Neodiprion lecontei: one gene and its partner. The protein of the gene in region 2 binds, or shares a complex with, the protein of the main gene of each other region. Links are inferred from orthologs where the notes say so. Each region holds a gene or a part of one and is shown on either strand. Other genes may lie near its edges.

Region 1 (8,753 bases), on a different chromosome or scaffold from region 2:
AGCAGCAGCAGCGGCGGCGGCGGCGGCGGCAGCAGCAGCAGCAGTAGTAGTAGTAGTTGCAGTAATAGTAGTAGTAGTAGAAGTAGTAGTAGCAATAGTAGCAATAGTAGTAGTAGTAGTAGTAGTAGTAGTAATAGCAGTATAGTATTATTATTTATTATTATTACTTTTTGTATTTTTAGTTACTTCAGTGTAGCCGAGGTAATAATTTTTTTTATTTGCTATTTCATTTTTATTTTTTTTCTATAAGAAATTTCACCGGATGGTTGATTCTTGCCTTTCATGCAATAGTCTGTCGCCTATACATATATTTTCTCTTTCGATTTCTTTACCACTCTCTCTCCACTTTTATTTCTCTAGATATCAGTCGCTCGCTCCCTCTTCTTTTTTCTCGCTCTTTATGCCAACCATTTCCTTCAATCTCCCGTCATTTCTGACTCCTTGCTAAGATTTACCACTGCAGTTAGTTACATCTAGAGCATACTTATAAAATACTTGAAACAAATTTGAGTCCGTTGAAAAGGTGGCTCAGGCGATTTCAGCTGCAGTTGTCACACTACTACACACAGATTTCATTTTATAATTTTTTTGTCATCTTCTCTTACTCTCTTCCCTCACTACTATTCGTCGTTGCTGGTCATTCCCGTTAAAATTACAAAGTTTGGTTTTATTTGGGTCATTCTGTTTGGTTTTTTCTTCTTTTGTCGTTCATTTGATTAAAGAAACTCGCGCTTTGCGGCATCCGGGCTCGACTAAGTCTAACTTTTTATTTTACTGGCCAACCGTGGAGCGCCGCCGAGTTGCTGATCAAAAATGTTCGTGTGTTTTGGTATCTCTCCCTCACCCCCGAACCGGTTTTACTTGTGATCTGCCCCACACATCACCTTTACGCGAACACGTTACAATTTTGGCTTTTCGCGTTTTTTAAATCTTCATTTTTCTTTTATAATCTAACAACGTATTAAACAAAAAAATTAAAAAAAACGCGGATACATGTGATGTGAAGCGTCCAACGCAATCCCGTTGGTGTAATAACAATTAATAAATGCTCTACGATTTTAATCGTAAGGACAACATAAAACAATAATATCACCTAATAGTTTAGCTTTTTGTGCATACGTTTCTTCAATTAATTCATTTAATGTTTTTTTTTTTCTAAAAGTTTTTTTCTGGGTATTTTTTTTTTTCCAACAAATTTTCATCTGTTCTTTCTTCATTGTCTCTTCGGCGAAGTGTACTAACTTCCTTCTTTCTTTTTTTTCTTTTTTTTTTTCCGAAGCGTTCGAAGGAAGAAGAGTAATTCTTTACAGTAGATGTAGGTATCGATACTGTTTTCCATAAGACCTTTAATGCCACTATAATTATCTGACAACACTTGCAACTGTTGCTGATTCATTTTGTTTTCCAATTTCTTCAACGTGTATAAACCCAATTTTTGTTACTATAAATTTTGGCAGAGGAAAATTCTCTTTTTCTTATTAGTTAGTTCATTTCTTGTTCTTGTTTTACTTTATTTTAACCATTTCTGTCTAGATATTTTAGACAGTCGTCTGGAAGATTATATATATATATATATACCATATAACTGTGTATGCACGTGTATATATATATATATATATACGTATACACACACACATACACACACATGTATATATATTTGTGTGTATGTATATATATATGTATAGAGGATCCTACGCACGTTGTGTGCTGCTGATGCGTATTATCGAACACTATAAAGAGAAACACGACAGACTAGACTTAATATTAATAATCGATCTTCCTCGATTGACCCAACTCCCGACCCAATCCAACTCGAAAAACAGAAAGAAACAACAAAATTACAAAAATAATAAAGAACTTTGGAATTTCGATTCAGTTTTTAGGTGCGGCGTGTGTGTCTTGTCGATTAATGACCGTTCGCGACACACGTGGTCTTTTTTCTAAGAATTCAGTCGATCAGAGGCGGGAGAGATTACTGTAAATGCTTCCCGTTGCGTATCATCGGCAATGGTACTATCATCATCTATTATCTCTGTCACTTCATGGTTGTTGGTGTCGTGGTCGTAGTTGCTGATGCTGATGCGAGATGAAGCCGGAAGATCACTCTGTGGTTACCTTCTGTCCCGGTAGAGGAGGTACGTTTTTATTGCCTGGGGCAGTCTTAGCTCGTTGATTCTGACCTCTAGTCTCTGCTTACCGACCCGTTTTCGAATTACTCTCCGGCAGAGGTCCATCAGGGGTAGAGGTTCGGCTGTAAATTCAATGAAAGCGCGATGAAGTTACTTCTCTTCGAAGTTCGGTAATGAATGATTTGAAATAAATATTACTCCGAGACTCACGATCAAGGCCTCCGATGTATTTCATCGTGATTTCACAATGTCCCCAAACTGCTGAAACTATCGGATGAAGTTTTCTTCCTTTCAGTCCTCTGAATGCTACTCCCAAGTACTGACCGTCTACAACGAAGGATAACGTACCTTCATCCATGTCCAGGACCACTGAAATTGTACTCCCGTTAACTATTGTCGTAAAAGTTTGCTATTCCTTTTTATAATTACAAAATTGACCAAATTTGACGATTTACTTTCGCAAGACTCAATAAGCACGGTTCGAAATTGTGCCAGTTAAATCCTCGAAAGCTTTGAAAACATTGAGAATAAAGAAAAGTAGACTTGATAAAAAAAAAGCTCACCCAGAAATTTGTCAGGAACGATGAAAGTTTCATCCGGTTTCAAAAGGGCAGGATACGTCACTCCGTTATTGTTTTTCGCATCGTGATAGAGTTTGTTTCTACCTAGATCCCAACCCCAGCTGAGCTGATTGTTGCCCACTAGACTTTGGTAGCCGACACTATGAAGGGGTGCTTCCGCGGTCGCCACACCGACAACAGCGTGCGTTCCTCGCTGTCGCGTACTCCAGTGTAATTCCCACACGTGGAGACCCTTCGTGTACCCGATGCGCCCTCGTATGCAATCCGTGCTCTGCGCTACGGGGTGGCGATGAAACGTCAACTTGTCGTCATCCTGAAATTTTTTTTTTTTTCTTTAAACTCCGATAAAACCAACTACACTGCGGAATGTTGAGAAGAGTGAAAAGGGTCATTCTCATCCGGGAAAGACGAAGGTATCCTCTATTCTGGGAATTTTTTCCGAAACCTACCTTGACGAATATATTGAGACTACGGTCATCGGCGTTCCAGCTATGACTGATCTGCGTCTCTCTCGAAGCGGGCGGCATGTCGAGGAGGACATCCAGGCGAGCTGGACGCGAAAAATCCTGCGCCAGTTCTCTGGGTACAACAGGCTTGTACGTGACTGCTCCGCTGCCAACAACACCTACGCCGCCTCCAGTTCCCGCACCGCTGTCACGTGTCACGCTCTTCACGCCGCCTGTAATTCCACGTATGCATGAATTAGGGAGACCAAGAGTGAGGGGGAGGGAGGGAGGGAGAGAGAGAGAGAGAGAGAGAGAGAGAGAGAGAGAGAGAGAGAGAGAGAGAGAGAGAGAGAGAGAGAGAGAGAGAGAGAGAGAGAGAGAGAGAGAGAGAGAGAGAGAGAGAGAGAGAGAGAGAGAAAGAGGGATGGAGACGCAAAAAACCGGAGGAAAAAAAATTGCACAGCTGCCATGATTCTGTCGCCTAGACGTAGGTCTAGTACATACAGACTATTGCTATTTGTTCGTCGCTTTAATACTGCAATATTTTTGACGAAGGCATATATTCCATGTACGTGCGATACGCGCTCTCTCTTTACCTATCGTTCCGAAGGTCCCGAATTTATGTCACACATGCACCGATCGGGAATGTCAGCATTTAAACTACAGCGCGTAGAATATTTGTTGAGAGCCTTCATTTTGCAAACACAGTCTGCCAATTACAAGGCTGCGCAAACATCACTGTCGACATATCGGTACCTGTACCTACCTATACGCACCTTTGCACGTTTCCACGTGCCCTGCTTGCGCCGTCGTTAACGTTATTTTAACCCAACGTATATGCGTGAGTTTCGCTTTCGGTGGAACGTGAAAGAGCCAAACGCGCTTCTATCGTTTTTCGAGACGCACTTATCGGAGTGAACTTTTGACCGAAATTGAAATATCTGACTCTCGTACGGCTGACACGCAATGCGATACTGCATACGTTAGATTTATGTTTCTTTTTCTTCAGTCTCGCCTGTTTTATGTCTCATTGATATGCCAGATATTTTCCGACTTGAGCGTATGTAAAACGAACCAGCGGAGGCATTCACGCTCGTTTCCATATTTCAAGCACCTGTCCATGGGCGCCAAATCGAGGAAGTAGGTGACATTTCATCTACGATAGTCGTCAAGATGACGACCGGTGTTTCTGATGCGGTAAAAAATTTGTCAATCCTTCAGTTGCACCGACGATGAAACGAAACCTGTACCACCGCGATCGCAAAAGCGAATGAAATGGGAAATAATCGACAATTTGTGTTGTACGTTTGGCGAAAAATTGCTGCTGGGTAGGAAGTGTTACTGCGTTATCAAGCTCGACTTACAGACCTCGTTGTCTCCAGGTTCACGAACTTCGATGATCCGCTCGTGTCGATTTCTCATTCAGCTTGTCTAAATCAGGAATTGGGTTGTTGTGGGTCGTGCCAACCATCACTATCACTATCGTGGCTATTCGTTACTCCGAGGTTTGCGAATTCTGATCATGCGTTTCAAAGATATAATAGTTAAATGTGAATTTTATGTATAAGTTGCTCGTAGATTTGAGCGTAGATGTGAGCAGGGTTTGTAAAATAAAATATGGTATGATCTGTGAGAATTGTCGATAGAAAAGTATTGTTAACTATGGTGTTAACTGTGTAGATCGATTTGGAAGAGCTCTTTTATGGCGATTGCACGTCAGTAAGTTACGACGCAGAGACGATACCGCCGTGATTATCGGCTGGGACGTAACGGAAGAATCGATTGCGGTTACGGTCTGAGGGTGACCAATGAAATTCCGTGGTAAAGGAACAAACAGAAATCACAGCATGATAGCTTAGTCAAAAAAGATGTGAAAAAATACCTATCTGTAGTAGAATTAATTTAATACACAGTAACAACAAACTGTTCAAGAACCACCCGAGAGAAAGTATAACAAGGATTCAAAATACCTGATATCTGAGAATTTAGGGCAGGACGTGAATCGAGGAAAACTAAGGTACAGTGGCACGATTGCACAGGTCTCCGTCCGTGAGTTTGTACATCAGGAAAGTGTCTCGTAGAATCCCGCCCTCGGGGTAAAGAAGCCGGGAACTCGTGGTTCTCGAGATCCCTCGGAAACCGTAGTATAACGTATAATATATCTCTTTGGAAGAAGAAGGTCGACGTCTGAGCCGAAGGCTGCAGGGCGAGAAGGAAATACAGGGAGGCTGAAGTGCGGTACTTGCTTGCGCAGCTGTCTCTGCGGTCTGAAAGGTTCGAAGGGTCGAACCTTCGGCCGTGGAGGGTAGCCAACCCTCCGTGCAGAAGTCTCTTTCGAGGCCCCGACGAACCCCCCCCCCCCAAAGCTCTGACCCCGTGGCCCATCTCGATTTCTAGGGTATAATAAACTAGGCCCTGATCCTCGCCGCAATCGTAAATTCTTCGATACGACACCACAGCTGGAAGGTGTCAAGGCAGCCCTTGATGTCGACTAAGATTAACACCGATCCTTCTTGCGCTCTACATCCTCCTTCTATGATGCATCGTCTACGTGTGTATTGTTATACGTAGTACGTAACAACGGAAAAACTTTCACAAAGGTACAACTCGTCGACTGATCTCTGTTCGATAAAATGAAAAAAAATGAAAAAAATTTTCAACAGTTCGTGCATCGTAAATTCAACCACATACGTTTGGAAACTTTAATACGATGTTAGGGTCAATCGCAACTTTCAAAATGCAATCCCGTCCGTCGTGTATACGCTGTTTCCAATTCGAACATCGTCATATCATACATAACACGCTGAAACATATCATCCAAGTTTAATTGCGTTCCTCGATTTGCGGCAAAAAATCACATCTCCGATTCGATTCCAAGCTACGCGACTTTTCGAAACGCGCGCGGGTACACACTAAATCTAATTTATAAAACTGTGGTTATTTTCCGTGTTGATTTCCTCAGGGGTGACTAGCTCTTCATGATACCGCAAATAAAACCATACGTATAACGTATAAATCCGAGCCACCGTAATACGGATCGGAAAAGTTTCTTAAACCCAATCGAATATATAATCTGACCTGAAATCTTTTGGCCCATGTTCATGCCACGGTGGTGGGATCGATGGTGGGGATGATGCCGGTGATGGTGAGGGTGGTGACGGTGATCGCTGCACAGCTTCCCCGCGGGCAGCTTGTGTCTGTGGTGGCGTGTCCCTGTCGTCGTCGTCGTCGTCGTCGTCGTAGTTGTGTGGTGATGGTGGTGGTGGTGATACCCGGTGGCCGGTGGCGTAGCACCCCCGTCCAACCCGCCTCCTCCGCCTCCGCCTCCGCCTCCGCCTCCCCCTCCTCCGCCTCCTCCCCCTCCGCGGCCTCCTACCGCCCCCCCGCTTCCAAGACCCCCGCTTCCCCCGGTTCCTCCAGTTGCCCCAGTTGCCCCGCTGCCGCGGCTTCCGCCCCCGCTAACGCAACGACTCGCTTTATACCTGTAACAATGGTCGAAAAAACAAACGTCAGTATATATATATTGCTATGCCGGGTTAATGTGGGTAGTTGCCTGTAATAAAAGACGCAATATCCAGGTGTCAAGACGACCCGTAACCTTTCTAAATTCAACCATCGCGTAAATCAACAGCTGTAACACGTTATTAACGAAGATTATGTTATAGGTCGTTTTTAAGGATGTATTGTACAAGCCGATAAAAAATTCAAGATTTAAAATGCAAAAAGGCAACGTACTGTCATTTTTATTTTAAATGGATTACAACCTTCACATTTAGAGCTCTTGCAATTCATATGTAATGCGTTGAAAATTTATTTAACAATGTGTTTCATCGGCACTTAAACATAGTTGACAAACTCAAGCGTATACGTAAAACTGTAGGAGACTTTTTATGCACGAGGCTGAACCTAGCAGCTGGAATTAACAGCCAAACGTTTTAATGTTCAATCGAATAGGGTAGAGTTGAAGACCAAATAATAAAATTTTGTGAAATACCATGAATCTCCGATACTTTTATAGAATTATCAGGATAAAACTGAACGGCATTTTTATATTTACAAAAAATCCAACACGTTTGGTTGCTAACTCTAAATGCTAGCTTTGGCTCAATTTTTTATGCAATCGAGCTCAAGTTGCACGACTAAAAATTGATGATTCCAAGTTGAAATTTCATCTCCAATGATTCACAGTGTAAGCTCGCTTTAATCAATGTTACCACGCAACATCGGTAAATATTTTCTCACTGCACGTACAGCGAAGGTGGATTCTGTGCATGCAGCACGTGTTACAAAGCACGCGGTATTTTGCCATCCGCGATTTATACAGAAGCAATTCGAGACTTTGATTACATCGGGTATACAGCAAGTTTATATCCATATCATTTCACTACGTTATACGTGCAAATTTCAACTACACCTGAGCGTTCGCAGGTTACATTGTTATGCGTTGAATTTAATACGCGAGATCATGTGTAACGTACGTCACAGAGTTTTCATTGTTGAAAGTTATCTATTGTTGTACCGTATTTCAAACGAATCACCATATTGTCCGACAAAGTTAGCCCACGTCAGAAGGTTTTTATATTATCCAAGAGCGGAGTTTTCTCCTGGTTTCAGCTGCAACGGTGTCGAATTTTGTTACGGAAAGTTTCGTCGCAGAAAAGATCAAGACGCGAAACTTTGGTACATATAATATTACATAGAATGCCATTTGGAGAATGAAAAGACCGGGACGGACAATCGTTCTTCATAAGTTTTTTCCACTTTATATATTTCCTCTTTTAAATGATAAAAATAAAATTAAAATAAACTAAAAGCCTATAGGAAACAAAGACGAATGTTGTGAAATCGTTTAATAATTGGGTACATAGCATACTTTTGAAAAAAAAAATTACAAATAAACTGTACCGAATGAGAAGTTTCTTTAACGAAGCGTTAAAATTTCAGTTTAATCATAAAAAATAGGAGAAACGCTATATGCGGTGTCGAGACGGTATAGAGAAGAAAATGAATGAAGAAATAAATTGAGAAAAAAAAAAAAGAAAAAGTGAAACAACAGTCCGTGCAAAGGTTCCGTTAGATTGCTGATTGCGAATCGAATCAACTCGTCTGTGGTAAGTGAAAGGTGAGCAATTAACTTTTTTTTTTGTTTCGTCTTCCTTTTTTTTTTACTACTCTTTTCGCAATGATGCACCTCGCTTACGATCGGTTCGACATTGTGGCATTGTACGGCAGATTCGTTATTCGGCATGTTTGAACTCCCTAAGGCATCTAGAATTTTCATTAAACTGTACCAAAAATATATGGAATAACCAAATGATCGGACAGACGAGAAAAATCTGGTGAAAATAGGATAAAACTAACATCACAGTCTTGTGTAAAGAGACTGTACGTATAATAGCAGTGAGATAAATATCAGGGACAAATGTCAACTCACTCACTCTCTATAATACACTTCTGGGCCAGATTTTTGTTACCTTGACCACGTCTGGACTTCGCGTGCTTGCGACAGCCACATCTTGCACCAATATCCGTCCATAAACGGGACGGCGAGCATCTCGCAACTTTGAGAGGTCGCATAGCAAAATGCCAAATGACAA
Region 2 (7,523 bases):
ACTACTTTCGCTTCCGGGTGCTCCGGACCACTTCGCTCATCCGGGACACCCAGGATATCCAGGCCACGGTATATCACATAGCCACTACGAGGCACAGCGTAACGTATTGCTGCACAATGCAACTCTCGCCCCACCAGTCGGAGATCTCAACTCAACCGGACCTTATCCTCATCATAATGTTGGTGAGTATCGTCGATGTTGAATTTTGCAGCGTATCGCTACACAAAATCAGCATTCCGTTTCCCTGAAAATATTTTATTTAAGAAGAGTTCCGTCCCTCGTAACAAGTGAAGTATTCAACAATATCCACGATCAATGTTGTAATCAAAGTATACGATACTAACTCGGTTTTGCTAACGATAAGAAAAAATCAAAAAATAAATTTACGTTGCTATTTCGTTTGAATTTTTTTTCTCCCTTTTGTCTGAACTAAACTGCTCACTGATGCAGGGGGTCCGTCGAATCTTGGATCAGCAGTGGCGACTTCGATGAATTTGACCAACAGCAGTGAACCAATGGGTGGAGCGGACAATTCTGGTTCTTACAAGGCTGAGCCGAACGATATGATGTACTACCATGCACCCTCCTCGGATTCCATTAACCAAACCACCGATGGATTCCTTTCGTCGCTCCTCAACGATGAGGACTTGCACCTCATGGACATGGCCATGAACGATGGTAAGTACCCTTGTGTTTCGCTACATGATACAAACAGCATTAAAAATCCTTCAAGTGGTGAGAAAAACCAGTATCTACGATGTTTTTGAACGAGATGAAATTGGGAATTTTGATTGCATGGATAAGATTCTTTCAGAAATAACTGTGTGAATAATAATCACTCGACGTGAATGAAATTCAAAGTGGCTGAATCGTAATGTAAAACTTGAATTTATCTTGTGTCAAAACTTGAAAGAAAAATTCATTCAACTCATCAATTGATTAACTACTTTTTGATACGTCGACAAATTTTTCACTTCATACAACTTATAATGCGATCTGGGAAAGGATATTTGAAATGAAAGTAATCATGAGACACGAATCATTAATTATAAAAGAAAATTTATTTTATTATCATAAAAAAAGGTATATAAAAATAATCCCACAAAAAAACAATATTTTTTGTCAACGCGAAGAGGTTATGATACACCGCGGAAAGAAATTTATTCAAATTGTTCATGTGTCGCCAGATTTTTACTGACTCTATTTAACTGAACACCAGATAACTCTCATTTTAAAATGAAATTTTGTAATGAGTCAATATGTTATAATAAAACTAAGAGAATATTAATCATTTGTGGTGACACGAGACCCTTGAATAAATTTTTTTTTTTCAGATGTATACAGCCCAAATCAAAAAAATGTGTTTATCAATCTTTAGCGGTCAAATCCAGACTCGCTTACTAACGTAACATCTTAAAATACTATCTTTGTACGTTTAATGGTAAATTTAGTGCCTAGCACCCATCCACTTGTCACGTAAAGCTAAGTGTTTATAGCTTTACATTTAGTCTTTGCTCAAATCGCTTATACCTAATTAGACTTATTGGCTAGATCTAAATGTGGAATATATGTTACATTCCTGGTATCACTTGGTATGTATCACTTGGTATGTATCACTACCATGCTTCTTCAGCTTCGGCGGGAGCTGAAGCGTAAGCGCTCTCTGGGTATGAGTCCCCCTCTCCGCCATCATTTTCAAACTGTAAAACAACAAAATTTCGAATCAGATCAAAGTACTTCACAAACTTCTTTAAACTTGAATACCGCAGCAGTTTATAAAAATAATTAATACGTTTTTAAATATTTGACGTTCATTATCCAGTTCTAGTCAAAACCCAGATTGCTGTATACATTCCTAAAATAATTTTTACTCACTCTGCGAACGTCTCTGCCACCAAACTTGCTGGATCTGCCTGGAGCATAGCTGCCCCCTCCACCACCAGATTCGAGCCACGCTGGAATTGATTGGTTAGCCTGCTTCAAAATCTTGACTAGATCAACTACGATCCCTGAATCTGTTTCCGAGTCAAAGAAACTCGTTGCACGGCCGCGATTGCCAACACGCCCAGTACGACCAATACGGTGAACGTACTCATCGATTTCCTTGGGCATGTCAAAGTTAATGACGTGGGCCACACCTTTGATATCAAGACCTCTGGCAGCAACGGCCGTTGCAACTAGAATCGGCATTTTTCCAGATTTAAAATCACGAAGTGCATCCTCTCTCTCCCGCTGTTCACGGTCACCATGAATAGAAGTCGTTGGATAATTGTTGTCTGATAGAAATGCAGCAATGAAATCTGCCGTACGTTTCATTTCCACAAATACTAGTGTACGTTGAATCTCGCCTTTATCTTTCTCGGCTTCCAAGGTTTCCCTCAATTTTTCTCGTTTCTTAAACTTGCTAACCTCGTAAAAGTTCTGCTCGACATCTTGGCAGGCTCCACCAATTATCCCGACAGCAAGGAACAAATAGTTATCCATGAATCGGCCAGCTAATTCTTGGATCGCGGCAGGGAATGTAGCAGAAAACATCAAAGTTTGTCGATCTTTTCCTTTTACCATAGATTCGTCATCCAGAATCTTTTCTATGTCTCCTATAAAACCCATGTCTAACATCCGGTCAGCTTCATCGAGAACAAAGAAGCGCACAGAATTGAACTTCACGCATCCTCGTTGGACGAAATCCATTAGTCGACCGGTTGTCGCAACCAATATGTGGCAGCCACGGAGCACTTGGCTTCTCTGGTGACTGGTTGCAGTCCCTCCATAAATATTGACACACCTCAGAATGGAATCTTTTGCAAACTTTCTCGCTTGATCGAAGATTTGCGTAGCAAGCTCACGTGTAGGCGCGACTATGACAGCTTGTGGTTCACAATGGAAGTTATCAACCACCAATTCTTTCGGCTCGTTCAATAGTGTGTTCACAATTGGTACCATAAATGCCGCAGTTTTTCCAGAACCAGTTTGAGCACAGGCCATCAAATCTCGATTTTGCATGACTATTGGTATCGCATACTTTTGAATAGGCGTAGGCTTTGTATATCCTGATTTCCTGATGTTCTCTAATAGAAGGCTTCTCAGGCCAGCTTCGTCGAAAGTGTTTATAGGTTGTGGTGCATTTTCACCACTAACGCTTACTTCAATCTTGTCGTACGCATCAAAATTTATCCCCATCTCTACGCCAGTACCAAAAATGTCTGCGTCTTCATTTGATGGTTCCGGCGGAATATAGACAACAGGTGCTGGTTTGTCTCCATTTTCTTCTCCGCCACTGCCCCCACCATTGTCGTCATCTCTCCTACCACCTCGACCTCCACCTCTCCCACCGCCTCTTCCTCTGCGAGATCCTCCATCCTCGCCATTAGCATCCTCATCTGCATCGGCATATCTACTTCCACCGCGACCACCTCTGTAACCACCTCTTCCTCTGCGGGATCCTCCATCGTCACCGTTATTGTCATCATCCCCATCTCCATATCTACTTCCACCATCACGGCCTCCTCTGTAAGCACCACCGCCTCTTCCACCCCCACGTCCTCTGCCTCCACCTCGACCACCACGTCTGTCCGAGTCCTCATGTTCCCCTCCATTGTCAAATCCATTGGTGCTTTCTCCTCCCCATTCACCGTTATTACTTCGTGGTTTGAAACCACGACCCTTGCCATAGCTGCGTCCCTCGTCAGTATACTAATTCAGAAAAATAAAAACTTGGGATTAGTTAAAATTTGAACAAAGTTGCACATATGGCTGCAGATAAGCATGAGAATAATATTGTAGGAACGGAATGAAAAGAAAAATAAAAAATTGCAGACTATTTTACTCAGGGTTTAGATTTCTTTCAAGCTCATCACACTCAATGCAAATGAGAAGGAAAAACAGAACAGCAGGAGGTGTACACACCCGATATACACAAGATATGCCAGACTCCCTTCCCAATACACATTGGTAGATTGCTTAACAAGCACTTTCCAACTGCGAATTCAACTTTATAAGATATCAAAAGAATATATGTTGTATCATCATTTAACTTGTTTTAAATTAAATTCATTTGACTTTTAAGACCTTTTGAAAATCAAGCCCAATCATTAATACAGATTCAGAGAATATTCTCACCTCTCCAGTACATACTGGCGTAGAGTCATTATCGTCCCACTCGTCCATTATTGAGCCTAGCGAGGGAAGAAAAATTAATTACTTTTAAAATAAATTTTTGATGAAATTTTCAAGATTCACTATCAAGAGAAGTTAGCCAAATTCAAGCATGTTAATTAATAATCACAGTCCTATCGAAATCGTGATTTGGTACACAGAAGATAATAGTGGTTTTTTCACAATCGGATTAACTTATTTTGGTGAATATTTCAAATGTGTACAAATGAAGTATAATTTTCTCTTTTACGTTAGCTTCATCATCTGTTTGACGAATTTTTCACTGACAATATATACCGATTATCGTTTGATGTGTCGTGATGATACTCAGAGATTGACAAAGTATTTTTAGTTTCACTTGACCCAAGATTTCTAATAATTCAACAAATTCGTATTCTATGACGCGTACGTTTCGCTAAAGTATCAAGTGGACCACGTGGGGGAACAGCAAAAAAACATTCGTTTTCAAGAACCCGTCGTACTAGTTTTAAAAATCGCGAATTATAATGTGAGAGGTTGACACGCTCGATAGTTTCGTATGGGCTTGACTCGCAGTACAATCAGCTTGAATAATTTTATTCTATAATTATCTAGTAGACACGCGGAGGTTGAAAAAATAGCACGATCGCAAAGGGCAAAAAGTATCTTGCAAAATTTTACCACCTGAGAATGTAGAACTAAACCGAATTTGATGAAAATCAACCCGGTCAAGTCACGGTTATACGTGGTGATTTATAATAACCGATAGTAAGTAAAAGGATCAATCGTGAGAAGTGTCGACTTTTCGAAAGACGGAAGGGTGAGGAATCGTGGAATTTTCGAGAAGGATGCCAACACGTGCTGGAAGAAATCATTCGATTCGGCACTGCACCTGGTGTATTTTAGGAAACAATGATGGCGTACTTACTAGGTGTGTATTTCGCGTAGATAGAATGTTTTTCGATAAGATTACAGCTAACAGGATCGTCAACTGGCAAATAATATCTGCTTCACAGATAGATGCCTTCTCTTCCGAAAGCGTAGACGTAGTGTTGTGCCGATCCTACAGCAAACAAAACTCGCAACGTCTCACGGGAGAAAAAGACAAGCTCAACGGACAAAGCGTCGAGCCAATCTGACTCGGCAACTTCAGGCTTAACCGGTTCCCGCCGCCGTGTATCGAACCCACCGAACCTTCCCAAACGCCGTATTGCGCATGCGTCAATCCAAACTGCGACTCATGCCGCAAGGGCGTCGCTAACGGAGGCGTTTCAGCACTGCGCAAATATTCTGTTCCATACTTCGGACCGTTGAATGAGAATAACGCCCAATCAACATCGAGAATTACTTCTGGATCTACCTAAAGGTACTTTCCGATTAAAAACAGTAATTCTCATCGTAACTACAACGGCTACTATCTTTTCGCACAAATTTTCTGAATCAAATCAATTCGAAGTAAACGTTGCAATATATCGCTATAGATATATCAATGACATCGGAGCTGGATCCTGCTGAAAGATCTGTGTTTTAGTAAATTGTTATCATTGCTGAAGCTTCCATCGTGCAGAGTTCATATCGGGATAACGAATTCACTATGGTTGTTGTGATAGGTGTGGCAGCGCTGAAGCGTACGATAAATAGAGAGAGAAGAAAGATCAGAGACGAATTTCTCTTCCTGTAGGACGTACGTCGTTCCAGAGAGACAGAGATGGCTCCCCGATCTTTTTTCTCTGTCTCTATTCTACATGAACGAATCAGATGGAAGACTTGGAACGCAAATCGGTTATTTCTTATCAAACCTCAAACCAGATCGGCTGACCCAATTAGTATCGTGCTCAACTGAAATTGAGCGTACGAGGCCGTCAACTCGTAAACGTAACTTATTTACAGTTCGTGTACTGTGAGCTGAACATTTGTAGGGTGGGATGTTTTTGAATTTCGTAAATTTGGTCAAATATTCATAACAGCTCAGATCTACGGATCAGTTGTCTTATAATTTATGCTTTATTTCTGTATAACATCACGCAAATTTTTCTAAAAACAAAAAAATTAAACCGTTAAAGATAAAATCGAGCATTATATATCATTCAATTTTTATCGATATATTTACATTCACACACGATTTAAGATCTGTAATATAAGCGTGAAACAGTGAGCCCCAAAACTATTCCATTGGCATTTGAATTCTGGATTAAACAACGTAATGCAAAGAATGATATAACGTTTTTCCACAATTTCACGTAGCGTCTGGAGGAAAACATAGGCAGAGACGAGCGAACGATATCTGTTTACAATTATTTGAACAGCTTTACGCGAATTGGTCTATATTGTATGAATACGTATCACACGTAACCTAGATTATGTACCCAGAATCATGTGTGGGTATCCTTAACTGAACTCGTAACGGGCCATTAATTTTGGAGAGGCAAGCGACGGCGGAGGCGGGGGAGGATCGGGGGGTGGGGGAGGGTCATATTAAGTAATTCATATTTTTATCTTTCATGAGAAGCACTGCACGGCAACAGTAGAAGTACTGTCGTACATACATAAAATGCTGACTCATTGCCAGTACTATTTTACAATGTGCTTCGCAGGCCGCAATGTCCTTGCAGTTCTATGTTTGTTGGGATGTTGCGCATATGCAAATAGTAACCACATCAAAGTCTCGGTAAGGCGAAGATTGTAGGTACAGTCGTTACTCGAAATCTGTACACGATAAGTATACGCCGCTTACGGTATTGTAAACAATGTGGGTGAATGCAGCGTCTTTGACTGAAAGAAAAAAAAATATGTCTCCTCATGTTCACTTTTCCTCTCGCGTATTTTTTATTCCCATATCGCCGAAGTTATTGGAGCTCTCGTTTCAAAGTGCCTACGCGATTATTTCAAGCGACAATACATTGTCGCTATCTTTAACCACAGATATCCTCGTGACCTTTTCAGCTGAAGCTTACAGCACGTCAAGAGAACTGCGAGTACCAGCCTCACGTTGCATACAAAGTTGCTGATTATCGTATTATGATTATACTGCATGGGAAATCATTCGATATATATATACTTAAACAAGGAGAAACTATAATATGTTGTTGTTGTTGTTACTATATAACGAACACCAAGCACAGCGTTAGCCATTTGCATATTCTCATAACTGTGACAATTGCTGGCAGTCTGATGTTTTTGCGAGAATGAGAAGTAAGATATCGGTCAACGCCGTTATCAGAAAATACGTATATTTTTTTTATAGGGCAGGCAATGGCTCTGTATTTTTCAACTAGTTAGTTTAACACTATTCTATACTTGCGATGATAGTTAATTTGTACCAGCATGAAATTATTAAAATATTGAGAATTTGTTTCAAAGTTCAATATGTAAATAGGGTCTCAGCCGGT

What was found. Proteins that work in one complex are often made in the same cells at the same time.
Region 1: the proteins of ATP-dependent RNA helicase vasa (region 2) and protein gustavus are in contact, whole or in part, in a crystal structure (PDB 2IHS), measured with the Drosophila melanogaster proteins. The link is inferred for Neodiprion lecontei from reciprocal best matches to the Drosophila melanogaster genes vas and gus. Residues at the interface, in NP_001260458.1 of Drosophila melanogaster: Asp184, Ile185, Asn186, Asn187, Asn188, Asn189, Asn190, Val192, Glu193, Asp194, Val195, Glu196; in NP_001246140.1 of Drosophila melanogaster: Ser64, Leu65, Asn66, Arg79, His80, Pro81, Val82, Ala83, Ser85, Asp87, Gly112, Thr113, His127, Tyr131, Val218, Trp219, Gly220, His221.

Annotation. Positions count from the first base shown.
Region 1 is NC_060260.1:35,167,568-35,176,320, reverse strand, and holds protein gustavus, read right to left. Parts: upstream 6,497-8,753; 5' UTR 6,260-6,496; coding exon 6,235-6,259; intron 3,390-6,234; coding exon 3,160-3,389; intron 3,024-3,159; coding exon 2,693-3,023; intron 2,499-2,692; coding exon 2,340-2,498; intron 2,252-2,339; coding exon 2,112-2,251; 3' UTR 1,227-2,111; downstream 1-1,226. UniProt on the Drosophila melanogaster protein: Involved in the localization of vas to the posterior pole of the oocyte. Required maternally in the germ line for efficient primordial germ cell formation.
Region 2 is NC_060265.1:29,908,448-29,915,970, reverse strand, and holds ATP-dependent RNA helicase vasa, read right to left. Parts: upstream 5,202-7,523; 5' UTR 5,063-5,201; exon of another isoform or gene 4,176-5,062; 5' UTR 4,168-4,175; coding exon 4,120-4,167; exon of another isoform or gene 3,902-4,119; intron 3,694-3,901; coding exon 1,876-3,693; intron 1,701-1,875; coding exon 1,617-1,700; 3' UTR 1,043-1,616; downstream 1-1,042. Other genes in the region: segmentation protein cap'n'collar, read left to right, coding at 1-182, 451-678. UniProt on the Drosophila melanogaster protein: Involved in translational control mechanisms operating in early stages of oogenesis.